Alligator mississippiensis: one gene and its partners. The protein of the gene in region 2 interacts with the protein of the main gene of each other region in a biochemical or structural test. Links are inferred from orthologs where the notes say so. Each region holds a gene or a part of one and is shown on either strand. Other genes may lie near its edges.

Region 1 (7,767 bases), on a different chromosome or scaffold from region 2:
CGAAAGGAAGATGCTATGGGCGTGAGGTGTATTAAAAATCCATTACAGGAAACTCAGTCAAGCTCGGTGAGGTAATGAGAGTTTCCAGTATTTGTATAAAAATGTCAGGAATACTTATTTAAAATAATGAAAAACAACTCAATAGCTTCTCTTCTAGCCCTGATGTCATCTTCCATTCCTTTTCATTTTAGATGGGGGGAAAAAAGAAAAAGCATATTCTTGAAATCCTCATGTTCGATAGCATTTCAATTGTAAAACTGCCTGCCACTCTTTATAACCAGCCCCTTTGCCCTGAAATTGGCAGGCAGTTTGAACAGCATGCACAATTTTTGACGTATCTCCTATTATACATGGCCATATGTGCACAGACCACCTACTGTATGCTTACAGGCCAGCTTATAGCCTATATGCTTATGGTACTGTGCCATAATAAAGGATGACTCTGATGGTGCGATGAAACACCAAAAGATCTAGCAAGAGTCATTATCCAGCTTTACAGAGGTTTACCTTCAAAATTCAGGGCTCAAGTCAAATCTCATTTACAGTGCAGCAACTCTGTTATTGAGTTACTCCACATTTATACCAAGGTCATTCCCAACAGTCTGGCTCCTGGTCTTTCAATCAGTCATTCATACCACACACAAAAGCCAACACAGTAATAGCAGTTGGTTTTATCTTGCCCACCTACCCATATAGAGAACGCCCTCTTTCGTCTTTCCTGCTGCTTCTGCCACACCCTGTTTGGTTTTTTCTGCTGCTGCCACGACTCCCTCCTTAGCCTTGGAAAGCCCTTTCATGAATACATCCATGGTTAAACAATTTCTTTAGACAGTACTGGAGAAAGAGAACAAGACAAACATTTTGAATCAAGTGCTCTTTTTTCTGACAGGAAGACTTTTGTTCCAGCTGTGACTAGAACCGTTTTTATTGAAAGATTAGATTTTTCTGAACATCACAAATATCATCTGTATACATTTGACTTTCTTCACACACCCATGTTCAGTATTTCATACAGAAGAAAAGTGGTCCAAAAATACATGCACTCCTCTCAATGGCCTTGATATTTTCTATTTTCTCAAACGCTGTCATACATAACAAGTTAACCAGCATTACAGACATACATCTTGTTTCTGCAGTACTCTCACAACCCAAGTAGAACAGACCTAGCTAATTGCAAAGGAGCCTTAAAAATGAAGAGGCTGCAATGTGCTATAGGAACTGATTCAGTTCTGGTGAGGGTGAAGAATGGGGGGTGGATTAGCTGATTTAACAGATCTTTTCCAGATCTTCTCTTTTCTGAAATAAAATTTCCTTTAAAGGAAATGAGACGGGGTTTTTTCCTGTAAGAAGGAAGGATTCAGCTCTAAGATGAGATGATATTTTCTATCTCCTCACTCAGAGCCACAGACTCCCTTAAAGAAACACTGTCAAAAAAAGCAGACTTCTGTGCAAAAGTGTTTAATTACTATTGTTATAAGAAACCCCTATTATACTTGAAAGGATTTGGAGGGGGAGGGGAGAGGGAAGGTCTGCTTTTTCGGATTTGACAGCATTTCTTTCTGTTTGCTTCTTTCTCCTATAGAATTAGTTTCCCCTGTGATTTTAAGTGGTCCTTCATACAGCAGCAGGGGGAACAAAACATGGAGTAAAAGTAGAAAGACGTCACTGTAAAACTCCCAAACTGGCAGGTGGGAAACAGGAGCCAAGGTAAGGTCAGGAGCTACATATAAGTCACTTAAAAAATGACAGTGTCCCTTTAACAAATTAACTAGATTGGTGATCACTTCTTTCTCCACCCATATGTAGAGCAAAAGCTTAGGGGTGCCTCTCCTCTCCCTTTCCCTTGTGATGCTGAGAAGGAGGAATGGGTGTCTAAGGAAACATCTGGGCTGCAGCCACCCCTACCAAGGGTTTTAAAAATTAGAAGTGCTATTGGTGTCTCATTAAAACCTTTTCTAACAGCTGCCAGTCTTCCTAGGAGAGGCAATGAAGCCGTTTCAATCACTGAGATGTAAGATCTGTCTAGCTACTACTAGCGAGGCTCTCTGGGATCCATTGTGGGGAGGCAGCTTCCAACCAGGCTTGACACTAGTGAGGGAAATGTCCCAGGACCTTCTCCAGGAGCTGCCCTCTCCTGAATGATGCTGTGCCCTGGAGAATCACACAGACACATGCACACATGCATGCACACACATACACACTCTGAGCCCTGGGAAATCACACTGCACCCCCCAAACACGCAAACATACATTCACACATGCACATACACACACTGAGCCTTGCGGAATCAACCCCCCACAACACACACACAGCTCACACACACACACACACAGGAGAGGAAGGCAGGCTGGGGCACCTGTTAACAGAGCATTCACTCACCACAATGGACGCAGCCTCCCATCCCTCCCCCGGCTGGGCAGTTCGGCAGTGTGCTGACCTGCCGGAGGGGACGGGGCTAGACCAAAATTTTATTTAAAAAAGAGAGAGACAGAAGGAAAGTTTGCCCAGTGCCTCCCTACAGAAAGCTGTGGCATTTCCAGGGCACGAAGCAGCAGCAGCTGAAGCCAGGCTCAGGCTCATCCCGCCCAGCGCACATGTAGCCTGGGATCAGGTACACACACACTCTCTCTCTCATCCTCCCCGGGATGAAGCGACCCGCGAGGCGGAGGCAGCCCGGGGGGGTCGGGGCAGCAGCCGGGCGGAGCCGCCTCTCCGCACACGCAGCCCCGGGGCCGTGCCCCGCTCCCGCCAGGCGCAGCCAGGACAGGACCCAAATCCCCACTGCGAGAAGCACCGTCACGAGAACGAGCAGCTGCAGGCACTCACCGCGGGGCCCGGGGAGCTGCAGCGGCGGCGCGGGGGACCCGAGGAGCGGCCCCTGCCTCAGCACATGGCGGAGCCGGAGCCGGCGGGAGAGTCGCGGGGAGCTGCCCCCGCCCGGTCCCAGCCCGGCAGGCAGCGGGTGCGGGTGCGGGCGGGAGGCGGAGAGAGCGGGCAGGCAGCGACGCTGCCCCTCCGCCTCCTGCCCCCTCCCCATCGCCTTCCCCGCCCAATCCGTCTGATTCGTCGCAGGGGGAAGATGGAGGCAGGCCTCCCCTCCCATGTGCCTGGGCACTTCTCCCCCCATCGCCCCCGGGATGAGGCACTCCTGCCTCTGAGGCTTGGGCACCGCCTCCTCTGGGGGTCCCTTGGCCAGGGGATTCATTGCCAAGAGCAGAGCACATGGAGACTGACTGGGGAGGGCAAGAAAAAAGATGAGTCTCCCTTATTTACATTTATTTATTTATTTATTAGTATTTGTACCCAAAGGCTTGCGAAGAGGAATTTTTCCAACTATTCGAGTTGGTCTAATAGAAGACATCAGATTTACCCAAAGAACCCATCTCTCTTGGCAGGCAAGGCTCTTTGGATAGATGTGATATCTTTTATTAGACCCACTAAATCTTTAGTTATCTAGTCCATCTAATAAAAGGTATCACATCTCATAAAACATAGCACATCTACCCAAAGAGCCTTACCTGCCTATATTCTTAAGCCAACACAGCTACAACCAACAGCCCTGTCTCCCTTGAGTGTTTCCAGGAGCTTCAGATATCACATATTTAGTTATTTAGTTGGTCTAATAAAAGGCATCACGTCTAATAAAATATACCACATCTACCTGAGGAGCCTTGCCTGCCTATGTCCTTAGACCAACACGGCTACAACCAACAACGCTGTCTCCCTTGGGTGTTTCCAGGAGCTTCAGCAAGTGCCAGCCATCAGCCCATTCTGCCCCCACCTTCCATCCACCAACAAAAAGAACATTGGATGCCCAGGAGAAGGAAGCCATGGCCAGGGAGACGTTTCCTTTCAGTCAGCACACCTTCCCATCATCCAGGCCAGGCAACAGACCCTGGGGGAAAAACTGGATCCTTCTCATTACTGGCTCCCAGCACCCAAACTGACAAGCGGCAAAGAGATGGGGTGACATCTTCTTGAGAGCAGAAGGGCTAAATTTCCAATGGTATTTAACCAGTGTTCAAATTACACTTTGATACTTGGGAGGGGGGAAATCAGAAAAAAAATGTTGGGCTGCCCATCAGGATGCCCTAATAAAATGAGAGACCCCCCAGGTTATGATTTGCAAATCTTACAACAGGGGGGCTCTTGTCTCTTATGGGCAGGCTCAGCCCCCCTGAGCTCCCCCGTAATTCAAACCCTGCATTTAAGATGCTGGTAGATGCCAGGTGGGATTTTCAGAGCGTCTAGATCCTTCCCCTGGAAGCCAGGATGCTTCAAAAACGTCTCTTGCACCCATCTGCCTCTTTCAGTTCCTTGAATGCCTTTATCTGTTTCCAAAGGACCTAGAAACCCATGTGTCACTGACTTTCTGTGAGATGTATGTTCCCAAAAGCCTAATTTTGTTGTTAAAATGGTCACTTTGTCACTTTTGAACATGTTACCTCATTCAGTTGTTTCTATTGGAGGAAAAGAACTGCACCCTGAAGTGTAAGCGCTATAAAAACCTAGACCTGGCTCCTGGTTCCTACTAGAGCCATTCAACACCTCAGGACACCCTCTCAGGACTAGAGAAAAAGTCTGATCATTCTTATTATACAAAAACATCCAGAGCCTGATGCACTTAGCTAGGGTATATTTGGGACCATTTTTTGGAATGCAGTGTGAGTTGTCATCGGTCTTGTACTGTATTTTGATGTTATAATTTGCATGTAAGAGTCCCCAAACTGCAGGACTGTAGTATTCCAGCCTTCTTCCTTTTCCTTTATTTTATCCCACTTTGCAAGACTGAAGCAAGGGGCATGAAGACAGTAGGTTGAAGGCAGAGGATAGGCAGGGAGTTGGACTTCACGTTTCCACTTTTCCTTTCATCCATCTTCCAACACAGATCTTAATGCTGAGCACCTGTTCCAGTCTTCTTGACAAACACAGGCTTTTCTCCCACTCTGAACATGGGAATCAAGAGTTTTGGCCTTTCTGAGATTACTTATGAGCTCCAGTATCTCAAAATAGCCTGATAAACTTCCCTTTAGTTCATCCAACTCCTAGCTTCAATCAGCCTATTGTTTACCAGTGTGGTTTGTTTTTCTCTGATTGAGAATATAAGTTTCTTCTATTATATAACTCTGCCCTCAAGAAGACCTTTTGTAAAACAATAATTACAGTACATAGAAGGCGTTTCATCTCCTTCACCATGCAGAGCAAATTCATGCTTAAAAGGGAGAAAGACTGGTAGGGGATTTTGTTTCCTCCCCCAGCTTGGAAGAGGCACATAGCTGTAATTTATTTGTCATAGATTGAAAAGGGACATTTTCAATATGTGGGGATTATTGTTGTTGTATTGCAAAACGAAGGTAGCAAGACTTCCCATGATCAAATCCCAGCTACTTGTATTTAGTTTAAAGCTAGAAAAAACACCAGTAACAAATGTGGACACAGTTTTCTTTCTTCCCTGTCAAAAGTGAAAATGGAAAAATATAAAATTATTCTATAATCTAAAAAGGTTTTGGCAATCTTACATTCCTCTGGACAATTTTAGATGCGTCTCAAAAGTATCATACAAGATTTAGCAAATACCCTCATGGACTCCTTGAAAGAAGTGCAAATTAAACATGGAAGTGTTTTGTAAAATCCCACTGGACCCCTATCTGCAGGCAGAGATGCTAAAATACCTTAAAAATTGGGCCCCACATCTCTCAGGAGATAGTCAACAGGAATCTAGTCCCCAAGACCCTTTTTAGAAGGAATGATTCCACAAGTGGACAGCAGCATCTTACAAGACTAAATTTGAAGAATATAGAATTTATTTGCACAGCACACCCCACAATCTAAGACTCAGAATAAAAGTGTCCTGAAAACCATTAACATTATATTTCATGACATCACTTGGCAATGTCATATCATGGCAATGACAAGGTGTTAGCAGCATTGCACAAACCATTCTATCAATGAAAATGATGATTACACTGATACATAGATGATACCAGGACTAAGCAAAGGGGTTTTTTGTTTGTTTTAGTCCAACAGTATTTCAGAAACCTCACCTCTAGTATAATGGCAGCAGTTTTTCACAGTGCCCAAAAGAATCACTCAGAGATAATTTGCAAGGTTCCAGATCAGTGGAGAACAGACAGGTTATGGAAACTGAATAAAAAGCAGCTTATTCTTCAAGCTGGTCTGGGAAGAGGAAGCTATGGAGATATGCTAGATAAAAATAATGGGTTGTCTCTATTATACTTATTAAAGGAAATATGGTGGGATTAGTAGTTGTATTTTAATCTTGACTCTTGTTTGGATTCTGTATCAGATGTCAAACCTGACTCTCTGTGCATCCACCCCTGCAACTATGCAGAACCCCAGAGATTGAGAGCCTTATCGTAGCTTGGAGGATTTGTACGTGCCCATGCTACAACAGATTGCAGTGGTAGGATTTAGCATAACAATAGACTTATCTGACTGACTGCTTTCTAACTATAACGCAAAAGATTAGTATTTTGTTTGTCATATTTATTAATAGAAACAATTCCAATCACACTCTTTGAATTGTGGCTTTTCCCCCAAAGACTATATCTTTCAGGATAATAAATGCACAAATGCAGTAGCTAAAAGGCACTTGCTTTGGTTGTCCAAGAGGGACTAAACAATGAAAGCTTAGGACTCCTGTTGCTCTTGATCAGATAACCTATAATCCCTTGCTCTGCCTCCCTAGAGAGTCCCCACAGGTCAAAGTGTTCTTTTTTTTAACCTAAAACATCCCAACAGCACATCCACTTCCAGTTTTACAGATACTAAAAACAAGCAGAGTTAAAAGCAAATGATTGACTCAAAGAGTAAAGAACAAATTAAGAGGTAACTGTCTGTATATGCAGAAAGTATACTAAAAAAAATACCAAACAAAATGCAAAATACTTGTTATAGGAATGATGGAAAATGTTGCCTACATCATGGCAAAATGATGTTCTTCCAGCAGTTGCCAAATTAGTTTTAGCCCTAAGGAAGAAATGTATCCCTGACATACCATAGGCCTCTGTTTTAGAGCAGACATGTTTATTATCTTTCTGCCCATCTTTTTTTCACCAAATCAAGTGGCTATCCATTACGTTACCTTCCAAAACTGTTTGACCAGACTCATCCTACTATATTCTGTCTAAACACTTGGTTATTTCCTTTCAATGTTCTTCCATAATTGTACCAATAAATGAAACTACCCTATTTACTCCAGCTGAAGATCCGGCCTACATAGTCATTAGCTTTAATCATTCTCACACACCTTGTACCTGACCCTTTGTTAACCTAACAACCCCCATGCCTGATTTATAGAACATAGTTTGGCTGGCGGTGCTCAGGTTCTGCCCACAAACTGTGAATGACTCTACATTCATAACTCTCTGTGACAGAGCACCTTTGGTGCCTGTCACTTTAAGGGCCTTGATGGCAGCAGGGCAGCTGGCAGGTGCAGGCTAGCTCTGCTGAATTGGTTGCATGACCCTGTGAGGACCATGCGATTGGAGGACAGGGCTCAGCAGACTCCATTTTAGCTCAGGCCCTCAAAGCTGCCCTGGCATTCTGCTGCTGGCAGCTAAAATAACACCACCCAGCTGAGTTGCTGCTGCTCAGAACATCCTTGGAGATAAGGGCAGGAGCTATGGGGATGGCAGAAGAATCCTGGTCCTGGGTATGACTTGAACCTGCACCTTGCTGGGGAAGGATGGCCTGGTGGGGCTATCTGTGGTGGGGTAGCTCCTCAGAAATGCCAGGCCAGTTGCC
Region 2 (7,640 bases):
CTAAGCAAAGTGTCTGCAGCAGCGCAGGACACAATTTCTGTGCCACAGCCCAGGCCCAGAGACACATCTCCACCTGGTGAGGAGTCCAGTCTTTCTCTTTGTCAACTGGAAAAGATTGCAAATTGAGCCATTAAGCTCTATGGCTGCAACAGAACCAGATCTACCCACTCTCCAGGCCCCTGATGAGTTCCTGGGGAGACTTGTGGCCCAGAAAAGTGAGAGGTTGAGAGTACAGAATAAAACCACACACACATTCCCTCCGTGCAGCTCTGCAGGCCAGAATTACTCCCTCTTCCCAAGCAGCTCTGGAACGTACCTCCCTCCTGCTTCAAATGCCTGGTCACAGCAGATTGCAGGGAGGGAAAGATCAAAAGCTGTTGTTGCTACATGGTTGTGCATAGCAAAAACATGGGCTTGCAACACCCTTCTCCCCAGCTGCTGCTCCCAGCCCTGTTCTGAAGGGTAGGAAAGGCTTAAAAGGTAAAACCTCTCCCCTACACACAACACCTGGTGGTACAGGTAACTATGGAAGAAGCTACCATAGGTTCAAGCAAGAGATTCTGCAAGCTAGTGGAGCAGACACAAGGCAAGGTGAAGAGAGAGATCGCACAGCAGCTGGTGCTGATGAGCAGGGACCTACCGTGCCTGCAAGATGCATGTGTAAGAAACCAAGGAAATCTACTTGATACAACTGCAAGGCACTGCCTGTGTCTCAGTTACTGGACACAGAAACTTCAGGTCACAATTTGGCACTTAAATAAATTTTCACTGGAGGATCTCAATGGAGCGTGCGGTGGCAGGGGAGTGTTATCTTCATAGCATGGATAGGGAAGGTGGAGCAGAGACCAAGAGACTTGTCCAATGCCACAAAAGCAGCAACAGAGAAGAGGAGGAAACCTGACCCCCAGCTCTGGGTATGAACTACTTTGTCCAGTAGTGCAACAACAACCTTGCCATAAGCGCTGCAGTTCTACTGGCTTTTCAAGACAAGACCTTTAAAACAGAGATGCAGCAAATATCTTCCCCCTCCCTCCACAGGTCCTACTGCAGTGTGGCCCCCACCCCTCACCTTCATTTAGTTTCTTGGTACAAAGCTGGATCCTGTCCAGGTAGCAGATGTAATGCTTGAGGGAATACTTAATGGGGGTGAGGCCTGGGATGGACTCCACTGCTTCATCTGCCATGAAAGCCACAACCTCAGGGGCTCCTGCTGCCAGGATTGCTGAAATGGGAAGGTGGGGGAGTATGCAGCAGAGGAACTGGACAGGTTGGAGGGGGTGGGGGATAGCAGGAGATGCCAAATCCTTCATCACAGCAGATGTCCACTTTCTTAGGGCCTTGGGGCTGGCTCTTGGATGCCTGTCAGAGCCTGCCAGGGCAAGCTGGCACATCACAGAACCTGAAGCCAAGCCAAGAGGACTTGTGCACACCAACACTCCCAGGAGAGATGGGACTGGACCAGTGCAGGGTTCAAGGGGAGGCTTGCCCTTGGGCAGCTGGAATTACCTCTGCTTCCACAGATAGGTGTCTCTCCACCAGCTCATCACAGCAGGAAATACACCAAGCCAGTGACTCAACCATCCCAGCTGGCACCTTCTCGTGCAGGTTTGCATGCCCTCGACCTGTACTTTCTGCTGCCCTCAGTGCTAAGGACCTCTTCAAGGTTTTGGTTTTAACAGGCCACTAGCAACTAGTTTGGCTGCCTGCAAGACTAGGAAGAACCAGTGGCTTCCCCCTTGTCCACAGGGCTGGGATCTAGGGCCACCGCTGTTTCCCAGGAGCCATGAGTGTCAGCATCTTGCATCCCACTATGCAAGTAGCAGTGCATGGCTGTTTGGGTGAAAGTGCTGACCAACCCTGGCTGTTCTTTCACTTACAGTTTGGTCAATCCATGGCTCTACCCCCTTATCTCTTCCCCATCCCTCACTGAATTCCCTTAGTCCTTACCTGAAGCTGTGGCTGGTCCTATAGCCTTTAGCTGGCTCAGCTCAGTTATGGCAGCTGCCACATCTGGGAGGAGCTGAAAAGCTTTCCTTGTACAGCGCTCCACTGTCTCCTGGGAGTTAGTGGCCACCAGCTGCTGCAGACGAGGACGGAACTTTCCCCGCTAGAGGGGAGGAGAGAAGGCAGCAAGGTGAGCCCCCCTCAACTGAAGACTTAGCTGTGCAGGTGACTACAGCTCATTGCTTGTAACCCCAGGGGCTGAAAGGGGCAATACTCTTATTAGAGGGGATCCAACTCTGAGGCCATGAGTTCTTTGCCAACCCTTTGAAAAAAAAACAGAGCAATTCTTTCTTGGTATACATTTCTGTTCAACTGTAGTCCCCTGACTATGCTCTACATGCCCCCTGGGATCCACCACGCCCTAAAGATAAGACTCTGAGGTCAGAGAGAAGATAGCCCAAGAGGTCTTTGCCTAAAGCAATACTGTCCAACTCCCCTGGGCTTGTCCTAAAGCCACATCCAGACCACAGAGCTCCTCGTGGGCTAGATCCAGATCTACCTCTGGCAACAGGGGAAGTGGCAGTGGTGTGAACTGCTGTGGTTTCCTGGGTGTTTGTGTTGGCTCAAGGAGCCGAGAGGAATAACAGTCTTTGCTTGCCCTGCTGCCACTGAACTGGCAACAAGGCTCTGTGCCCTAGTATTCAGCAATGGGCCCAGCCCCCACTCACCCCAACCCCTCTAGGAGTCTTGTGGGCTGTGACAGGTCCGAGGGCCAGACCTGGTCTGCGGGCTGGGTCTTTGACACCCCTGTCCTAAGGAATAGGAAGTTGGGTAACCAATTTGGAAAATGCAAAGTGGTTTGAGGCTGAGCACAGTGTGCCTGGAGGAAAGTTTACTTGTTCACAACTCTCGTGTATCTTTTCCAGCTACTACGCCACCCCCTTACTCTGCATCTTCTCTGGGATTTTACCTTCCTTTCCTCGTTTTCCCAAGTAGACAACAGCCTTGCCTTCACGGCTCTATCCTATTACCACGACACTCCTATCTCAGTGCAGTTTCATCTACCTTCTCCTTTCTCCCAAATATTCTTAGTGACTAAGCCAGCCTGCTGCTTTCACCCTGCCCAGCTATAATTGGACCAACCGCTCCATTCCAGTGGATTCAGAGCCAATGAAAATAATTCAATTATAAGCTCACTGATGCAGATAATCTCTCTGTGCGCTCAAAGAGCTGTGGGCAGTACTAACGCTGTGTAAAAACAAATTAATAATAATTCCCCTGGAAATCCAATCACAGGCCTGTGGAGCTAGTGGGAGGAAACTGACCAAGCTGTGTGAAATGCAAAAGGTTAGGATTTATCTACACTCAAACTGGTTTGCTGCTATAACATGACTGGCATGGCTGGACTGCTAAATCCCCTACTGGAGATGCAGTCATTGGATCCTTTAAACTGTTGTGTTAGGACAGCTCACACCAGTTCCCCAAGTGGAACAGACTATCCCAGAAATACGCTGCTTTGCCATCGTGACTGTATCTGCATTCAGGCTTCAGTCGTGTAAGCTGGGCGATAACAAGGTGAGCTAAGGACAGAGCTCCATCATGCTCCTAACTAAATTTGTTCGGCTAGCAAAGGTGTTTACATGGAGACAGGATCAAAAAGAAACGTGACATTTCTAGAGATGAGGCTACTGACTCCTCAGGCCCGACTTACCACAGCCTGTCTGCAGCTGAATGCAACTTAGAGCAACCCCAAGGTTGTTGCAGGTTGAACCAGGGTCCAGACTGATTAATTGATTAACAAGCCGCAAAGATGACATAAAACTGCTTCTCTACCCCTGCCCTGGGCCAGAGGCTATGGCCGGCCCATGATTTCTGTCTCAACCTTAGAAAGGTAAGCACAACAGTTACCAATTTAAATAGCTGTCAGACAGCTGGCGCGCACGTGCTCCCGAGCGGAAGCAAACACTCAATACCCTGCAGACGTCGGATCTCCCAGCACCTGGAAGAGATGTCGCAGCCCGTGGGGGGCTGAGACCCCCGTCCCAGCCGTGCATCCACTCCCATTATAGGGCTGAGACGCTGCACGTGGCCATTCAGCTGGGAAGTGACTCACGGTGAGTTTCCACTGCATCAGCTTCACTACTTCGCCCTGGGTCAAATGCTTCTCTTTCCGTCCCGCGAGAGCAGCCGGCAACTCCTCCTGATACCTGAAACAGAGCCCAGAGCGGGCAGGACTCGCGCCGCCGCCTGCACCCGACCCCCTGCGGCCCCTCGTGTCACCGGGGCACCAGAGCCTGGGGCTCCGCACTGGCGACAGCTTCGGGCGGGACGAGCAGTTGCGCGGGCGCCGCCGCCGCCGCCGCATTTACCATTTCTCCAGCCCGGCGAGGCCTTTCCGCTCGCTCCCCTTGGCTTCGACCACCGCCCAGTGCAGGTCGCGCACTCGTCTCCAGCACGCGGGGTCTTGGCAGCCGTAGAGACCTCCCTTGGCCGCCATGTCTGTGAGGACCCCTCGCTCCCGCGGTCGCCCCCGCTCTCCACCAACGCTCCCAGCACGCGCCGTGCGATTCGCGCCAGCTTCCCAGTGTCCCCTGCGGCAGCCCCAGCCCCGCCCCTCACGTGACCCCTCCCGCAGGCCACGCCCCCGTCCCGGAAGTTCCGGCGGGCGGGGCGGGGCCGTGGCTGTGGCCGGCGCCGTCGGTGTCGCAGCCGCAGCGCAGCGCCAGGCCGGGCGGGCGGGCGCGCGCGGGGATGAAGGGCAAGGAGGAGAAGGAGGGCGGCGGCGGCGGCGGCGCGGGGCCGTGCGGGGCGGGGCCGCGGGGCGGGGGGCCGGGCGGCGCGGGCGCGGGGCCGGGCGGCGGCAGCCCCGAGAAGAGCCACAGCGCGCAGGAGCACAAGGAGCAGGGCAACCGCCTCTTCGTCGGCCGCAAGTACCCTGAGGCGGCCGCCTGCTACGGCCGCGCCATCGTGAGTGCGGGGCCGGGGGAAGAGAAGGGCCGGGCTAGGGGCGGTGCCGCCGCCGCGCGGCCTCTACCGGGCCCCGCCGCCCTCCAGCGCGCCTGGCTGGCAGGGCCCCGCGGGCCACGGCGGGCCGGGGGAGGCCCCTTAGCGCTGGTTCCTGCCCTGGCCCAGGAGCAGGCAGGAGGGCAGGGGCGGCCTAGAGCCGGGGGCGGAGTCCAGGGCTCAGGACCCGCGGAGCAGTTGCAAGACCCCCGAGCAAGTGGCCCAAAGCACGAGGTCTGTCCCTGTGATACTGTAGATGTTAACATAAGCAACACTGAGGAAAAGGAGGTTTTGTAAAGATGGTGCAACATACATATCTGCATAATGAGATCCAGTAACAAGCAAAGGTCAAAATAAGCTAAATATCAAGGCTGAGTGCAGCCTAGTAGACTGTATATAATGGCCCAGGAGAGTAGTGGAAAGTGGTCACACACCAGGAAGCCTCCCAGCCCCAGCGGTTAGGGAAGTCTGGGGGTGGTGTTGCCCTGGGTTGCCCCTAACGCACGCAGGTCTTCTTCCAGAACCGCAATCCCTTGGTAGCCGTGTATTACACCAACCGGGCCTTGTGCTACCTGAAGATGCAGCAGCACGATAAAGCCCTGGCAGACTGCAAGCATGCACTGGAGCTAGACAGCCAGTCTGTAAAGGCCCACTTCTTCCTGGGTCAGTGCCAGATGGAGATGGAGAACTATGATGAGGCCATCGCTAACCTGCAGAGGGGTGAGTGCCTGCCAGTCAACAGGCAGCTGGGCCTGACTCAAGGCATTGACAGTCTTCATAGTCTATTGACCTTCCCTGCTAACAGGAGTGCCCTGGCTGCTTTTAACTTACCGGCAGGGGGTGTGGCTGTTCTCTGTTCAAAGGTGCTAGGATGGAGGCCCTAGCTAAGCTGCAGGCAGGCCTCCCATCCTGAACGGGCACAAGTAGCGCCCACCTGCAAAACTACAGCCTGTGAATACAAAGTAGAAAAGGCTGGAGTTGAGCAGGGGACAGCTTGGAGTGACCGTACGTGCACAGCTTCTCCCTAGGCCGGGGGTGTTTGGAGCACCAGTTGAAAGCCTGTGGGAGTTCAGTGCCTCTGTGCTTGACCACACACCAGTCATGTGGCTGCGGGTGAGGCCCAAGGGGGAGTCAATTTCTTTGGCAGCTGCTTGGAATTCAGTCCCCAAGCAGTTTCTCTGCAGCTGGTATGGTGGGGTTCGGGTTGTAGCCTGCAGCTTCAAGTTTAATGAGCCCTCCCCATTTGCTGCTTTGTGCTACAGCAGCAGCATGACTTAGGGCAGTGCCACTCAGGAGCATATTAGCCACTTAAAGCTGTAGATGTCAACTTCCGTCTGCCCTGCATGTGTAGGTGCTGGCGTGGCCGGAGCAGAAAGAGTGAAACCATCATCTAGAGGCTGGTATTGCACTTCTCGTGATGAGCTGCACTGCCAAGTGGGTTTAGGAAGGCTTCTCTGCTGACCTCCACTTTGTCTCCTCAGCCCACAATCTTGCCAAGGAGCAGCGGCTGAATTTTGGGGATGACATTCCAAGTGCCCTGAGGATTGCCAAGAAGAAGCGCTGGAACAGCATTGAGGAGAAACGGATCAACCAGGAAAATGAGTTGCACTCCTATCTGACCAAACTTATCATGGCTGAGAAGGAGAGGTAATGTGGGTAGGAATCTCTTCCCCCTCAGCAGCTAGGAGGGATGGCCTGGAAGAATATCAGGCCTCTGCAAACAAGGGGAAGGAATTGGAGAGTCCTCTGAAGGATGAGGGCAGCCTGGCCTCATAGACTGACTTTGCTATCTGGGGTGTGAGGAAGGCAAAGGGGTTGAACACCTGCTGGCATCTGCTGTTGCCCTAAGTAGTCTGGTGCTGTTATAGATGGTGGAGTCCCTTTCTGAGAAAGTCAGAGGCTTTGTGCCAGGGACCTGTGTTAATTGGGAGGTGACCGCTCCTCCTTCTCCAGCATGGTGTTCCTGGTTGCTTGCCAAAGCTTGCTCTGTGCTGTAATATTCTTCTGCATCTGTCCTAGGGAGCTGGACGAATGCCGAAGGACACAGCAAGAGGAAAACATGGATGAGAACCGGGGCAGGGCTCAACTGGCCAACATTGAAGCCAAACATGTAAGGCATCTCCCTCTTTGTATATTTGGGACTCCCAGGGGGGTTGGACTGTTTCAGTGTGTTTTTGCTTGGGGAGAGCTGCAAACTTGGGGGGTGCTGCTTCCTTGGGCCACCCTAGCATGAAAGGTGGTAGCCAGACCTTTTTGAGGTGAGCATAGACCTATGGGTGACCTCTGGGTGGTTGAACCCATGGGGGCACCAAGAGATGCCACAGTAAAACCTTTGTGGGAATTCTGGAGCACAAAGGGGAAGTGGCTGTCACCATGTCCTGCTTTCCAGGCTGCTGTGCTGAGCGAGGATGACTGTTGGGAGCAGAGCTATAATCACAATTGCAACAGGTCAAGGAAACAAAGCAGGTTTCCCCTCACAGTGGCTGCTGTCTCCAGTGCTCAGTGTTTGTATAATGCAGGCTGCTTCTGAAGCTCTTTTTACACCAGGTGCCTGTCCAATACCAGCAGCTGCAGCCCATGTCAAAAATAGGTTGAATGGTATTGCATCCCCTATTTATATCCTGTGCCCTGTCCATGCTGTGCGATGCATCACTCAAGGTAGCTTGTCTGCTGTGTGGTGTCTGCTCAGGGCA
Region 3 (8,002 bases), on a different chromosome or scaffold from region 2:
CGAGTACCCGTCCCCAGCGCAGCCTACCTGGAAGGGGCCCTGGTCGTACATGCTGGCATAGGAGTAGGCAAAGCCTCCTGTGAAAACCCGGTCAAACCAGCCCTTGAGGATGGCTGGCACCCCAAACCACTGGAGCGGGAACTTAGGAGGAAGGGAGAGACGGAGAGATTGCAGAAGGAGGTCAGGAGATGAGTCCTGCTTTTCTTTCCATCCGCGGTTGCTCCCTTGGCGAGGAAGGAGGTACCTGGAATATCACGAGGTCCGCAGCCTCCAGCTTCTTCTGTTCTGCCACGATGTCGCTGCTCAGCCGGCCCTCCTTCCACGCCAAGCCCATCTCCACCGCGTAGTTGAAGTTGTTGGGATCCTTCGGCTTACCTGAGAGAGGAGGCAAAACAGGACAGAGGTCGGTGCTGGGGACCGGTGCCAAGGAGCTCTGTGCTTTCGGGGGAACAGCGCTGCTCAGTACCGGTGATGTCTTCCCGGGACTGCACCGGGTTGAACTTCATGGCGTACAGGTCAGACACGGCGACGCTCCAGCCTTTCTTCTGCAGTGCGTCGACAGCAGCATCCTTCATGGCGTGGTTGAAGGAGGTCTTCTCCGCGTGCGCCAGCACGATCAGGGCTTTTTTTGCTGGAAGAGAGAGCGAGAAGCTGGAGCGCTTCCTTCACCGGAGGGAAAGGCGCCCCAAAACACCGAGTTTCCCGATTCCCGAGACGTGGGCAACGCAGAGTACGTGCCCCCTCTCCCTGCCACCCCGGCAGATGGGATCTTGATAGGATCTCAGTCTGCGTGCCTGAAATGCAGGCGAAAGGATTGGAGGGGGATGCCCCATAAAAGTCTGGCTGCCTAAAGTGCAGGGCTTCGCTCAGCTCGTCTCCCGTCCCGAACACGCAAGCAAGCAGCGAAGGACCGAGCCGTCTCGGACCCCGGTGCCCTGAGGCTCACGACAAGAATTCGAGCAGCGTCTCGGGAACGTTACACGGAAGGAGCGGGCCCAGAGGGAGGTCCAGGCCATCGGGGACAGGCCGGATGGAGTCGGTGTGCCCAGCGATCGAGCAAGGTGGCAGGAAGGAGGAAAGATGAGCGTTTTTAGCCTCACTGAGCTGAAACCCATGCTGAATTCTTAGTCTGGACCGGCTGAGGCAGGTCTGAGGAAGGGAGGCAGCAAGTCACGGGCAGAGGCAGGAATTGGATTTGTACTTGGGGATTAACTGGTGTCCGTGCCTGGCGTCGGACCAGTTGGGCTTTGCGTACAGAAGCTCGCGCCTCTACTTAACTTCCAAGGCGCCCCCTTGCCCTGCCTGGCTCCAGGCTAGCACGGCTCACCGCCCCGAGACGACTCGAGCCAACGTGCCGGAGGAGGCAGGAGCGGATCAAGGACGGGCCCTGCAGCGCTGCAAGAGGATGCTCTGCAAACAGCCCACGTGCTGCAGGGGCAATTGCAGCGCTCAGGGGTAAAGCAGGAGACGGCGTCGCGGACGGGGAAGGAGGGCAAGAAGGCACGAAGAGGGGTACGGTCGATGGCGTCAAAGGCAGCCGCCGAGTCCAGGGGGATGAGGGTGGGGGGCCAGGTCTGAGCTGCCAACGAGAGCGGCTTCAGTGGACATAAGGGACAGAGACCGGGATCAAGAGGAAACCATGCCGCAGCGCGGCCTTCATCAAACCACGAGATGAAAAGGGAGAGGAGGCAGTCGCAGGCGATGCACCCAGGGCCACGGCTGGGATCTTCACGTGGGAGCACCTTGGCACATCCGTGCTGTGAGGGGAAGGGGCGGGGGGGGCGGCAGGCGAGCGGAGGAGTCACCTGGGCAATTCGGGGGGAAGGAGGGAGGGAGCGAAGGGGGTAGACGAGCGGAGGGCCTTACGGGGAGCAACCAAAAGGAATTGCCTGTGGACGCAGACCTGGGCTGAGGAGCCAGCTGCGGCCAGGGCGGCCCCGCGAGGGTCCCCGCTCTCCGCACAGCAAGAAGACCAAGGCCCAGGCACGGCCGTAGAGGTTGGCACCTGTCGGGGGGTTACGCACCCCCACCAAGATCAGGGTGCAAAGGAGGAGCCCTCGGGACGCCGTGTTTCCCAGGGCTGAGGAGGGCTGTGCGGAGGAGCAGCGTGAGGGAAGGCAGCAAGGGCCGTCCACGGGGCAGGCGAAGCACCAACGGGAAAAGCTGGGGCATTGGGAGCTGGAGCGAGACCGGCAGGAGGAGGAGGCCGAGCCGGCGTTGCCCAAGCCCGGAGCCTCCGGCCTCCACGAGAGCATCCGAGCTGCCACGGAGGGGTCAGACCACGTCCGGCGTCGCACGGGGGCAGGGAGCAGAGGCCTTGTGAGCTGCACGAGTGTGGATCAACACTCGTGCTGGCTCGGTGTCTGGAGCGGTTGCACCCCGAGTCTACAAACCTCGGGCTGTCCCCCCGCACAGCCGTGACCCGCCACGAAAGGCCGGGCTTGGAGCCAGCGCTGTGAGGTGCCACGACCGGCTTGTCACCCCGCTGCCCCGCGGAGGGGGGTGGAGGTCCTGGGACTTCCCTGCGGGCAGCACATTTGCACCCCTTGGTGACTCCTGCCCTGGGCTGGTGTAACTTTGAGCGCTTACACCCATTTCTCCAGCTACTGAGCTGGTTTAAAAAAGAAGACGTCGCATTTCCCCCAGGAACCCTGTCTGCCCAAACCCCCGCGACGGTGCCGCTGTGCGTGCAGGAGCTCCCCGGGGCGCCCTGGAAGAAGGAGTCTCCCCTTCCCCTTCTCTCCCCTCCGCTCCGCACTTCAGGTGCAGGCAGCCCTGGGGCAGGGCATTGCCCCTTGCCCCCTGCCCCTCTCCTCCATGGGCAGAGGGGCCCAGGGGCTGCGCTGCTGGGAGCCCCGGTCCAGCCCGGGCTGGGGCACAGCACAGCCCCTGCCCCTGTCCCCCGTCTCTTACCAGCCATGGCGGGTCGGAGGCAGCCGGGCCGGTCCCAGCTTGCAGAGACACTTCCCCAAGGGCGGAGCCGGCTCCGGGAGGCGATGCCTCAGTGCTCAGCCCCACCCAGCTGCCCGCGGGGTCCTGCCGCCTCGCAGCAGCCTCCTGGGTCCCTGCGGCGCCCGGCGAGAGCCAGGGAGACAACTCCCCAGTGACTTTCCCTTCTCCCCTTTGCGTTTCGTAACCCTCCCCTTTTTGCAGCCTCTCCTGTCTGCCTCCTCCGTGTCCTAGGGAAGCCCCCTGCTCCCCTCTGCCCTCCTCGCGCTCCTGGCTGAGCCGCGGGGACCAGAGTTATCCAGATGTGGAGGCACCGAGGGGCACGTCTCCCTTCGTCCTCCCGTTTGCCTTTTGGACCGCTGTTTTTAGGGGACTGCCCCAAGGACCCCTAGCTCTGCTCCCCATATGGGAACAGCTCGCGTCGAGCCCATCCAAGCAGAGGTCACAGCCAGGTGGACCTATGTTAAATTGCCATTGAGCTGCCCCTTGGCTCGGTGCCCCGAGGCCCACCCACCGTGCTCTTACCAATTTTGAATCATTTGGCGTCATTGGCAGACTTGGCCACCTCCTTTTCCAGATCATTTATGAACACGTTACACGGCACCGGCCCCAACAGACCTGGGGGACCCACTGCTTGCTTCTTTTCATCCCCAAAACTAACCATTTGTATTTGCTCTGTTTTCTATCTTTAAGCCACAAGTGGAGGTTCCCTGCAATCCCGGTCTACCTAACCTCACGAAGAGCAGCTGATGGGGGCACAGGGCAGGAGCGATGCAGAAGTGCTGCTTCTGCACCGTGGAGCCGTGAGGATACGCAGCTGGACGGCAGACCTAGAAAGGGGCTACCGAAAAGATAAACCTGCTACAGGTACATGACCAAAAATGCCCGAGACCCCCCTCACACCAGGTCCCCGGGCCTCTCCTCCTAGGCCTTTCGTAACGCCGAGCTGGCTGCTGGCCCGTCGCGCTGGGTGACTCAGCTGAGCAAAACCTGCCCCCAGACCATATCGTGTTTGCAGCGCTCCACCTGAATTAAATTGGGCGCGGCGCTATCAAACAGTAATGAACTCAAACAAAAGATCTTGCTCTGCGGCTGTGGGTGGAGAACAGCATTGCGTGAGTCCCGCGCACCTGCAGAGCTAAGTCACGGTAGAGGTCATGGTTTTCAAAGGTGTCGACAGGCAGGGGGGTCCAGACCGGCACGCACGTTACGTGCAAGAACAGCAGCCTTTTCTATTGTTATGGCAATGGGAGAGCTTGAGCAGGGAGACTGTGCGGGCCTCAGTCGCTGCTATTGCTGTAGTCCTCCCAGGTTGACTGGGTGCTGCGCATGCCTGGGAGGGTGCACCTTGCCGATCGCTGCCTGGCCCAGGGGAGAGCGTAGCAGACCCTGCCACTTCTTTTCCTGCCCAAGACCTTTCCAAAGCTAACTGTATGCCCATTTCAGAGCCTGGCTCCAGACGTTCATCTGCGCCGACGAGCCTGCAGGTCTCCGTGACTGCACCTGACTTCGAAGCCGGCACTCGGAAGCAAAAAGGGACTTTGAATATTTGAGCTGCGGGGTCTGGCTGCAATCCTGAAATGCCCCTTGCAGAGAGGAACCTGCCACCTCTGTTCTGGCGCCTTGCGTAGCTCAGTTTGTACCTCGGGAGGGTACTGGGCTGCTTAGAAATGCACCAGAGGTGAATTAGTTACCTTTTCACTCTCCGCATTTAGCACCCTGTTCGCTAGAGAGCTGAACTAAGCAGCTCGTAAGGGCCAGCTCAAAAAGGCCAGACCCAGGGTGCAGGCCAGGGACACAGCGACGCCTAGGACCTGCTGCCCCAGTCAGCGGGTGTAGGCCAGACCATGCTCCCACACTAAGAACTGAAGGGGAGCAGGTCCATGACCTGCGGCCGGGCTCCTCTGGCCTGGGGTGCTGCCCTATTGCTTTGCAGACTGGCCTTGCTGACCCCAGCCTCTGAACGAGCGACACGGGGGGCTGGGGCCTGTACCTGACCGTACGGCAGGTCGGGATGCTGCTGCCCAGTCACAGTGGGGCCCTGGAAACACTTTGTTGACTGTGGTTGGTATCTAGAGTAATAATTAGAGAAACAAGAGGGGGCCCCTGGAGTCCCCCCCCCCATTCCCATGGTCCTTAGTCCAGCCACAGGCAGCATAAACAAGCTAATTAAGCACCAGGCGAGTGTGCACACAAATGCTCACAGCCACGTGCAAGCTTCACTCGCCGGCTGGAGGTCCCAGAGCCCTGCTCAGCCCGATCCCTCTCCTCCTCCTCCTCAGTTGGCCCCCAAGGAAATGGGCTCTCAGCTCCCAGCAAGGCAGCACTGTGCCACCAATGTGACAGGAGAGAGGTCGCTGCCTTTCCCCAGCGCCTGAAACCAGGAGTGCAGATTTCCTCCAAGCACCAGCTCAGACCCATGCACTAAAACGCAGTAAGGGAAAAACAGCGTGTGGCCTAAGGGAAGGGAAACAACGCCAAGGAATGATTTACAGCTCGCTGCCCTGGGCGGGCCGTGGACGATAAAGTTCAGCAATGCAAGCCGCCCCTGGCTCCACAAACGCCGCCCTGACATGCTGCTGGGTCCTGGCACGGCCTAGCTTTAGCAGCACTCCTCGGGCATCACGCCAACAAAGCATGACGGGCAAACTCCACTCTGCCCCACAGCTCCGCTTTCCCCCTCGGCAGGGAACTGCCCTCTTCAAAAAGCACGAGCAAAGGTCTTGCTGAAAGTGCGCAAGTTTGAGCGCAGTCCCGAAGACAGCGATGCACAGCTGTCTGCCGAGAGGGGCAGTTTCTGCATTTGAGAGGAACCCAAGAGCTGTCCCGCCCTGGGCATTGGGGTTGCAACCGTGCTGCTTTTTGTCAGAGCAGAGCAAACGCCATCAAAACTGACAGAGAAAGGAGTGTGGAGCCAAGTTATTCTCACTGAACGGTCACAGCTGGGTTAGCTCCAGGAAGGCTGATGGAGCGGAGAAAGGCAGGCAGGAAAAGGGGGTTTTGAAAACTCTGGAGATGCTTTTTTCCACTCAGTAACAAGCCACAAAGCCCAGCAGTGAGCAGCACCTCACCTGGAAGTGATGATCCAGCCCTAGAAAGGTCCTAAAGGAGGGATCAGTCCTCTCCAGCCTGTCTCTGGCCTGGAGCTCTTCTCAAAGAACCAGGGCACTTGGGGACCTGCACAAAGGGCTTTCCCATTAATAGCTGCCTTGCTCCCAGTTGGAGCACTCAATCCCAACTGGTCACCCAGTTGCCAAGCCCTTTTGTGCCTGAACGTTGGCTTAGCTTTGCTTGCAGGCCAGGGCACTGATACGCGGAAAGCCTTGCTTCTGTCCACAGCGCTCTCTAAACGGCATCTTTGTTAACCATTCCTTTCCATGCTTTCTAGCCACTGCTGCTCTGCCTCTGTGCGCCAACCTCGTACCCAGCCTAGGCCAGGAGGAGAGACTTGCTCTTCGTTTCCCTCTGCAGCCAAGCCAGCGGACAGGTAAGAAATAGCTCGATAGAGAAAGCATGGTACTGGCCAGGCCCTGGGGCTGCAGCTGCTCCCTGTCTTACAGGACACTGTACATTGCTCCAAGCTAAAGCAAAGTATTTGCTCCTGCTATAATATCAGCACTTTGTCAAGTGGAAACAAAGGACAAGTATTTGCCTCTGTATCCAGCTCCTGGTTACAGCCTGACAGTGTTGCTCCGGCAGGCAAATCAAAGGGGAGGGCTACTGCAATGCTGCACCTGCCTCTGCCCAGGTGTGGGCCCTTCCCGCACTACACGCCATCCTCGGGCTGGGCAGGCGTGTCCCTGCCGTGTGCAGAGTCCCTTGTCCATTAGATTTGCATGCAGCATGCTCCTGCCACTGGGGTGCTGTGCACCAGCAGGATGGGAGATACATCTGGGACTACAAGAAAACAGCTCAAACTGCAGCAAATTCAGCTGTGCATGTGTCCACTAATTCCAGCACTGGGCTGGACACCTTTGCACCCCAACGGGAGGGCATCCTGCATCTTATAAACAGGAACAGGGGGAACCACAGCAAGAGGTACAAGCCAAGCACAAGAGCCCGCATGCAGCAGTCAGCTGAGCAGCAGCTGCCTTTGCAGCACTGGTAGGCTGCAGTGCCTCAGGACACAGATGCTCTTTCTCCACATGCCGTCTTAGAGCATAAGAATTAACCACAGAACTCTCTCAACTGCAAGCGAAACAGCCACGGACTGCCATGACCTTATTTATTAAAAGCACTGAAGTGTCCACTGCTGCCACGCAGCTAGAAGCAAGCAAAAATATACAGCCAGATCCAGTTCGATAGATGCCTCACGTCAAAAGAGGCCTGATGCTCTATGCACCCGGGTGAGCATGGAAAGCAGTGGCACCGGGGCCTTCCCAGTGCCACCAGCTCGGGGTCTGCACAGGGGGACCCAGCGAGAAGCCTCGCTCTCGCATGCGCATCAGGCATGAAAATGTGACTTATTGCTCAGCTGACCCAAGCAGACGGCTCTTCCTCTCCCTTCACCGCTTCTTCACGAACTTCCTCGTAGCGGTGTTGGGATTCATGCGGCGCCGGCCTGCACCCAGGGCCGCATCCCGGATGCGCAGGTTGGCTGCACGGCTGTAGATGTCGTTTTCTGCAAAGGGAGAAACCCCCGCGATGTAGTCAGGGTCGAAGACGTTGGTTTTCTCCCTGGCTTTTCGGGAAAGCCGCTGCTGCGGGAACTGCTGGTCCTCCACCAGGTGAGGGTTGCTGGCGTGCTTCCCCCCTTGGGGAGCGGGCAGGGGGTACTGCAGGGACAACAAGAGCGATCAGAGTGAGAGCACAGCAGTTAGGCAGAGTCTGCTCCAGACTCAGGCCAACTGCTTCCCAATGAACTCCCAGCACACATGGCCCAAGGCCCAGGGAGCCAAGTCTATGCAGGGGAGGAGCCCAAGGCCAAAGATGTGAGAGACTTTGTTGCCTAGTAGACGTAGGTTCAGCAGTTCCAAATTGAAGCAGGACTCGGATCAGAAATGGGGAGAGGTGGCAGCAAGCGCTGGAACAAGCTGCCATGTCTAGCAACATT
Region 4 (7,008 bases), on a different chromosome or scaffold from region 2:
ACAGCAAGTCTTCCACAGACATAAGTGGATGGCTTACACAAATCAAGGATTGTTTTATGCTAATGAAACCATGTATTTATTTATGTACTGTCGCATTAAGTACCGCTCAGTGAGAAAATATATTCTCCCCAAAGCCACCATTATTTCTGCCCCTTTGCTTCCTCCTTTTGCCATTACTCCCCCTCTCACCTCTCTGTATTTCCTTTCCTGTATCTCCAAATTCCCACCACAAGGGGCTTCAGTTCTGCTAGTCCACCTTCTAAAATAAATCAGCAATGGAATAATTAATATTAACACAAAAGCTAGAAGGTATAGAGAAGTTAACAGAGTTATTGTTTCAGGCTGTCTGCAGACTCAAGCAAACAAATTATAGTTGGTATGTTCTCTTCAGACACAGTAGTTAAGAAATTTCACATATTAAAAAGATAACTTAGATTCTGCACAATACAAGTCACTTAAGCTAGATTCAACCTATAGGCTATATGATACTTTCCAATTCATGCATAATTACAACCCTGACCACTGCAATCCATTATATGATCAAAGTTCAAACACATAATGTACACATGGCACTGCACGCTTAGCCCGATGCACATACTTAAAAAAAATAATAATAATCAGCATCTTCCACAACAGCATTCTGCAAGAAGACAGCTTTGGAATTTCAAGCTAATTTTAAGCTATAAAGGGTTAAAAACAAATTTAACTTTGAGGAATGGCATCTTCACCAATCTTAGAAACGCATTGTGCAATTTACTATATACTTTGTAAAGTAGGAAGAAAAACAAAAATACAGAAGCACAGGAAGGAAACCTGTGTGCAACCCTGCAGATAGATCCTTTAATTTTTAGAAAGTTAGAGATAATACTCAAGGCCACCTTAAAAAAAACAAACAGAAAATTCAGCTTCACTATACAGTTTTAACAGGCCTCCAGAATAAGTAGTGTCTAGTATACTGCAGGACATTAACCACCACATGCTATTAACCAACTGTAATATTTTTAGTGTTGGATAAACTGCATTGAGATAGCTAGCTAAGTGACATTATCAAATTATATTAAAACTTCTGTCTTTAAAATCCCTAGAGCAATAGTAAACATTAAGCAACTGGTAATCAACTTCACCATCTTTAATATTAATTCTGCACAGTTTAAGTGGGATGTACCTCCCTATTCCCTCTTACTATACTACCTTACTCACTTTCGTTTACAGCCAATCTGATAATACCTTTTACTTCAACTTTTTGCATAATCTGGGCCTTGATGTTTGTAATAGTTGCCAACTTTCAGCATGTTCTACCAAGAGCAGCTTCACAACATTATAAATTGCGCGCCAGATATTCATTCACTTCAGCAAGAAACAATGGTGCTATTATCTCTAATCAGAACTAATGGACCTTACTTGAACAAAGCTACTTTTACAGAACCAGTCATCACCAATTTGAGGGCTTGAATTCACATCACTTCTCAAAACTTGAAGCTGTAGCTAATGAGACTAATATTTACACCATGCTAAAAGGAAAGATCCACAATAAAGATCACAGATTAATGTTATGCTGCCTCAAGGAAAAAAATGCATTGTGTTATTTCACTCACATCTCTTCCTTAAGATGTAGATGTCAATATAAAAACTAACCTATTTGTTTATGGTCCACTATAGCTTAAAACTAAACTGATTTCAAAGGACCCATGTTACTATTAAATCATTTCAAATACCATGAATACAAAATACTTGGTTGGATCCCCTACAGTAGCCACAAAAACATATTACGAGCTGAAAACTCAACATGACACAGCTCTAAATCAACACTGTCTTAAACAGACAGCAATGTCTAAGAACACAAATACTGAAATAACTTTGATTTAAGGCACCCGCAATATTTAGCTTGTCATCATTATATCTTATTAGTAAAACAGAGAACCTTTTGTTTGCATCTCAGCCAGGATGCTGAAGCAACCTGGGGTGCCTGGAGCTCCAGCCTTGTGAGGTGTGCAAGCCCAATTCACCCAGAGATTTCAAACAGGAACCCACAGTGCAAACAACATCCTGCCCTGTGGTGGTCTTTCCGAGCTCTCTGCAAGACTAACATTATTGCTCTGTGATGTTTCCACAGTCTAAAAACAAGTGAAAAGGAAGAGCTGCCACTTCCCAACAAAGCCTGGACAAGGGAGACAGGGGTTGAGCCCAAGAAGATTGAGAACCAGGACTCCAGCACTTGGCAGGCAAAGCATCCACCTTGTTACCCCCTTTTCCATTTCAGAAACAGTCTGACCCGGCTCTCACTTCCTGCTCCCTCAGAGCCACCTCCCCCAGGCCAGCACAGCCTCTGCACTGCCCCTGGGTGCCAGCATTCAAGGAGGAACAGAATCGGGCAGGCCGCACCATGCAGTCGCAAACACTCCTCCCTTCCTCAGTCTCTATTTTTAAAGGACCTCTCACAGGTGAAGCCAGGGCAAGGCCCGGGCCCGCAGCCAGGCCCCTGCCTGCTGGGGGGGCGCGGGGGTCAGCGAGCCCTGAGTCATCGGGTGGGCGCCCCCAGCAGCGAGGCCGCGGCTCTTGGCCCACTACAGCCCGGCCGCTGGACACGGGGCAGACGGGGGCACTTCGGGCTCCGCAGCTCCCGGCGCTGTCACAACTGCGCCCGCCAGGCCGGGCAGGGGTCGGGGTCTGGGCCGGGGACACGGGCTCGGCCAGCAGGAGGCGTCCGCGCCGCGGTCCAGCTGCTCCCATTCATTCCCGCCGCCGCGGCGGAAGCGGCTGCGCCAAGGCCCCGCTCGGGCCCGGCCGCCACCGTCGCCGCATGGGGCCTCCCTCGCGCCCGCCCACACCCGGGCCCGGGCGGCGAGGGGGGAAGGGCCCGGGCCGGGCACCGGAAGCCGCGCGCGGGCCGGGCTGGGAGCGGGAGCCGGGGGCGGGGGCCTGGTGTACCTTGATGATCCTGCGGGGCAGGCCGGCCATCTTGTCTGATCGGGATTCAGGCGCCGCTGGGTCTCGGCTCCGCTCGGGGGCTCGCGCACAACCGGAAATCACCCGCGACCCGCTTCCGGTAACGTCACTGCCCCCTCACCCGCCCCCCCCCGCGCGGCACGCCGGGCAATGTAGTGCAGGAAAGGAGGTGTAGTGCGGCAGGCGGGGCCCGCGGCCTCAGGCTTGCAGGCTGTGACGTGCAGCTGAGGGGGCGGGGAGGAGGAACGCGGGGAGCCACGTGCACTGCTGTCAGGCTCGCGCTGCCCTTGCTGTAGAGTCACGGTGTCCCGTGGGAGGGGCGAGGCCCCGAGGGGGGGGCGGTCCTCGCGCCGTTGGCGCAGCCAATAAGCGTAGAGCTGTGGGGGGAAGGGCAAGAGTGCGGGCCTGTTGCCACCGCCCTTCGTGGGCGGGAGAGATAGGGCCTGGTCTCCGCCCTCGCCCCCACCCCGGAAGTGCTGAGCCGGGGCTGCCGGCCCCTTCGTTTCAGCTGGGCACTGAAGGCTCTCCGAGTGCCGAGTACTGGCTGAGCAGCCTTATCCCCGTTTCGCAGACAGGGCGCCATCTGACGACCACACGAGAAGAGAAAGGCATGTGGGTCCCGCTGCCCCAGTACTGTGGACTTCTGCTGCTCCGTCCCTGCTTGTCTTTAGAGAAGTGGCTAGCTGTGGTAGTGTAACGTCAGCTAGAAGATGCCTTTATACACGCATAAAGAAGATACGCATATAAACAGAGCGAGCGAGAGCAAGCTGGCTTTTGTGAACCCGAGTTCACTCCATCCGATGCCGTCTGGAAAAGTGTAGTCAGGGACTGCCCTGCCTTGAGCAAGGGGCTGGACCAGATTAGGGTTTCTCAGCCTTTTCCAGGCCAAGACACATTTACACGAATAAAATGTCTCCCTTGCGTTCCCTATCCCCCTATTCATGATCTCGTTGTAACCCATTACCAAGGCAAAATTCAGCGGCACCCCTGTTCGTTTGTAATGGCACGCCATTGTGCTGCGGCCACTAGTTGGGAAGCGCTGGACTAGGTAACCTCTTGAGGTCCTTTCCAGCTCTGCTTTCCCATAATCCCATGAAGGGCTGGGTAAGGGCAGCAGTATTTCTAGTCCAGCACCTGCTGAGGGAAGCACTTGGCTATGTCTCATTGGAATCCAACTGTTTCCTTCTCAATCTCACAGGTGTTAATGATGTGCTCTCCTTTTTAATGATCGTAATGTTCAGCTACTGTGAGGTATTTTTTTCTTTTGCAGTTCTGCTCTGAGTTCTTCTGCTAGCCCTGCTCCTGTTTTACAGCTCTCCACAGTCTGTGCAACTCTGACTACAAACATTAGCTCAGCCCTGCATGGGAGGCACTGTCAAGAGGCTCAACAGCAGTGGCCTTAGAGTTGTTGGGGTCCTGGGCAAGCGAGTCATTTGAGGCCCCTTAGAGGTATGTACTCAGGTAAATATTAACCCACCACAGTTGTCTTGTGAATCTTTTTAATGTTTTGGGGGGAATTAGATTAGTAGTCAAGTGTTTAAAATGGAGCCACTTCCTTGCAAAAACTTCCCCCCCCCCACCAAAAAAAAAATTGGACCCCCTAAAGTGTGGGGGCCTGAGCAGTTGCCCAGTTTGCCCTCCCCTAAGGCTGCTACTGGGCTCAAGAAGGTGAGATTTTGTTGGATGAATCTGAAAAAAATCTAATAACTACGGGACTGTGATTACATACTGAAGGTATAGGCAAAGTGGTGCATTCAAGCCATCATCACTTAAAAAGAAACCCCTGTGGGTGCCTCGCCCGGACCAGCTCCAGCCCTTTAAGAAAAAAAAAAAACAGAGACAAGCCCCCAAGACTCGCTGCTCCTGCAGCAGCCTCAGGGCTTTGCGGGGCTTGTGGCAGAGCCCCCCACATAGCGTGTGACAGCAGGGATTGCCCCCTGCTTGGCAGTACCTGGTGAGTCTGGACTTTTTTTTTTTCTCCTTACAAGTGCTGGGAGCTGGGGCAGGCGGGGCAGCCATTGCAGGGCTGGGAGAGGGGCGGGGAATGGGCCAGGCCTGGCTAATTCAGAGATTCAGCTGCTGCCGAATCTCCAACCCAGATTTGGCCAAATTGAATCGGGACAGTGATTCGAATCACCAGATCAAATCGCTGTCCCCCAAATCAGCCGAATCCGAAGCGAATACTAGCCACTTCGCACAGGCCTACTATCTGGCACCCTTTGCTGCTGTGTACATATACCACAGTCAGAAGCTTACTGAAGGGTTGAGCATGTCTTTGGTTACAGCTACACGTCAAGCTAATCCTCATGTCTGGACCTTCTTCAGCAAGGCCTCCTAAGCCACGCCTCTGGCCCACCCAGTGTGTCCCCCCTCCAAGTTACCCCTTTTACCTCTATGATCTAGCCAGCCCCAAACCCCATACAGGGCATATATTTTCTGCTTTTCACAAGCTTAAAATTGTGTTCACTTCAGGGTCCCCCTTGTCCCAGTTCTCAGTCAGGGCAAGGAGGGGCTCAGGCATCCCTAGAGGGGAAAAGTCCTCTCCTTTCAGGGCACACAGGTAGGAGGAGAGAATGTGGTCTTGAATGTTGCTGTCCCTCATTTTTTCTACCACCAAACCGAATGCCCTCTATCATATCCCTTGCCCTATCCATCCCCCATTCCTGACCTGAACCTCCTCAGCCCCTCTTCTCCTTTGTCACCTATTCCTCTTTACCCTCTTTCCATAATGTCCCCATCCTTTGCTGCAGCTACAACCTTTTCTCCTGTTCCCCTTCCCATTTTGGTCCCTTCTATTCTACTTCCAGCAAACACTACAGTTGGGGGGCAATAGAATGTGGTAGAATTATTTTGAAGAAATGCTATTTTGAAGGGAAGGACTGTATCTGAGGAACCTTTTGTTCAAATGAACTCAGTTTGGATGATTAAATGCAGGGTGTGTATTTTAGCCCACTTAAATAGTTGACCTTTAAATCGAAAATGTTTACAACCCTAACTATAGCAGAGGTTGCTCTCTACTTAATTGGAAAGCAGTATCTCTTCTGTTGCAGTCTCCCATAAAAGTAGACAAACAATACAAACGTTTTAATTCATGTAGCATTTAAAAATATTATAGTTTTAGAAAATGAATTACTTGTACTGTCCTCAAGTGATTTTACTGGCAGGCATGTTCACCAAAAGAACACACTTTGAGAGACTCCCATAACTGTTCTTTGCAAATTCACAGAAAAGGACTGATTCTAACTGTTTTTGATCCAAACGGAATGGAAACAATACATGCAACTTGTGTGTTCAGCCATAACAATCTGAATTCTGAATATGGAAATCTTGCAACTGCTTGTGAGCTACTGTCCAATATGATTCACTAATTAGTGATTTCACCGGTTCTTTCAAGTGACACACATTTTAAAAAACAACGTATATAGACTTAACTCATGAAATGAGCTCACCATTTGTTAAATAAGGTCCAAGTCATGTAAAGCATTTATTCACCTTTTTTAGCTTTATGCAAATCAGCATTCTGCTGAGTTCACTGATTTCAATTAGACGACTCATATGTACATGCTTGTCTTTGTGTGCAAGTATTTGCAGAGTCAGGGTCTGTTCATTATGAGTTACTCGCCCTCTGTTTCCTGTGCTGATTGAGAAACATTCAATTCAAATCCTTTACTGAGCATTGTTTAAGCATGTTTTTTAACATGGTTTATTCTTACAGTCATCACTTAAAATGTTTGGTGATTTTTTTTTTTAACTTAATTACTACAATTTCAGTCCTGATCACAAAAGTAGAACAAACTTATTTTTTTAGCAACATAATGTATTCAATGTGTGCATGGCAAGTGGCATGATTGCGGCATCACACATTAGATCCCATCATGCCTTATTGCCAATGCAAGGGGAGCCCAATCCCAGGCTCTCCCTGCAGCAGCAAGAAGCAAGCTCTCATTTGAGGGGCTCCCAGCTGCATGGGTGTCCCACATATCACTGGGGCTGGGGGATTACAACAGCCATAATCTTCCAGGCTCAGAAGGTGGAGGGGGGGTAAAAACCCCAGACCCAGGG

The links.
Region 1: the proteins of STUB1 (region 2) and SNCA form a complex in vitro, tested with the Homo sapiens proteins (2 studies listed by BioGRID, with this or other methods). The link is inferred for Alligator mississippiensis from reciprocal best matches to the Homo sapiens genes STUB1 and SNCA.
Region 3: of the proteins of STUB1 (region 2) and NQO1, one has a biochemical effect on the other in vitro, tested with the Homo sapiens proteins (2 studies listed by BioGRID). The link is inferred for Alligator mississippiensis from reciprocal best matches to the Homo sapiens genes STUB1 and NQO1.
Region 4: the proteins of STUB1 (region 2) and UBE2N form a complex in vitro, tested with the Homo sapiens proteins (11 studies listed by BioGRID and IntAct). The link is inferred for Alligator mississippiensis from reciprocal best matches to the Homo sapiens genes STUB1 and UBE2N.

What each region holds. Positions count from the first base shown.
Region 1 is NC_081825.1:152,570,553-152,578,319, forward strand, and holds the start of SNCA (alpha-synuclein), read right to left. Parts: upstream 3,007-7,767; 5' UTR 2,827-3,006; intron 835-2,826; 5' UTR 810-834; coding exon 689-809; intron 1-688. UniProt on the Homo sapiens protein: Neuronal protein that plays several roles in synaptic activity such as regulation of synaptic vesicle trafficking and subsequent neurotransmitter release.
Region 2 is NC_081836.1:29,911,681-29,919,320, reverse strand, and holds the start of STUB1 (E3 ubiquitin-protein ligase CHIP), read left to right. Parts: upstream 1-4,638; 5' UTR 4,639-4,695; coding exon 4,696-4,911; intron 4,912-5,468; coding exon 5,469-5,667; intron 5,668-6,428; coding exon 6,429-6,594; intron 6,595-6,966; coding exon 6,967-7,057; intron 7,058-7,640. Other genes in the region: uncharacterized protein LOC106737444, read right to left, coding at 1-105, 1,070-1,222, 1,948-2,107, 3,944-4,151, 4,314-4,441. UniProt on the Homo sapiens protein: E3 ubiquitin-protein ligase which targets misfolded chaperone substrates towards proteasomal degradation.
Region 3 is NC_081833.1:76,440,101-76,448,102, forward strand, and holds the start of NQO1 (NAD(P)H dehydrogenase [quinone] 1), read right to left. Parts: upstream 3,008-8,002; 5' UTR 2,921-3,007; coding exon 2,914-2,920; intron 632-2,913; coding exon 467-631; intron 376-466; coding exon 245-375; intron 142-244; coding exon 28-141; intron 1-27. Other genes in the region: RNA-binding protein NOB1, read right to left, coding at 7,455-7,724. UniProt on the Homo sapiens protein: Flavin-containing quinone reductase that catalyzes two-electron reduction of quinones to hydroquinones using either NADH or NADPH as electron donors.
Region 4 is NC_081827.1:87,986,139-87,993,146, forward strand, and holds the start of UBE2N (ubiquitin-conjugating enzyme E2 N), read right to left. Parts: upstream 3,013-7,008; 5' UTR 2,959-3,012; coding exon 2,929-2,958; intron 1-2,928. UniProt on the Homo sapiens protein: The UBE2V1-UBE2N and UBE2V2-UBE2N heterodimers catalyze the synthesis of non-canonical 'Lys-63'-linked polyubiquitin chains. This type of polyubiquitination does not lead to protein degradation by the proteasome.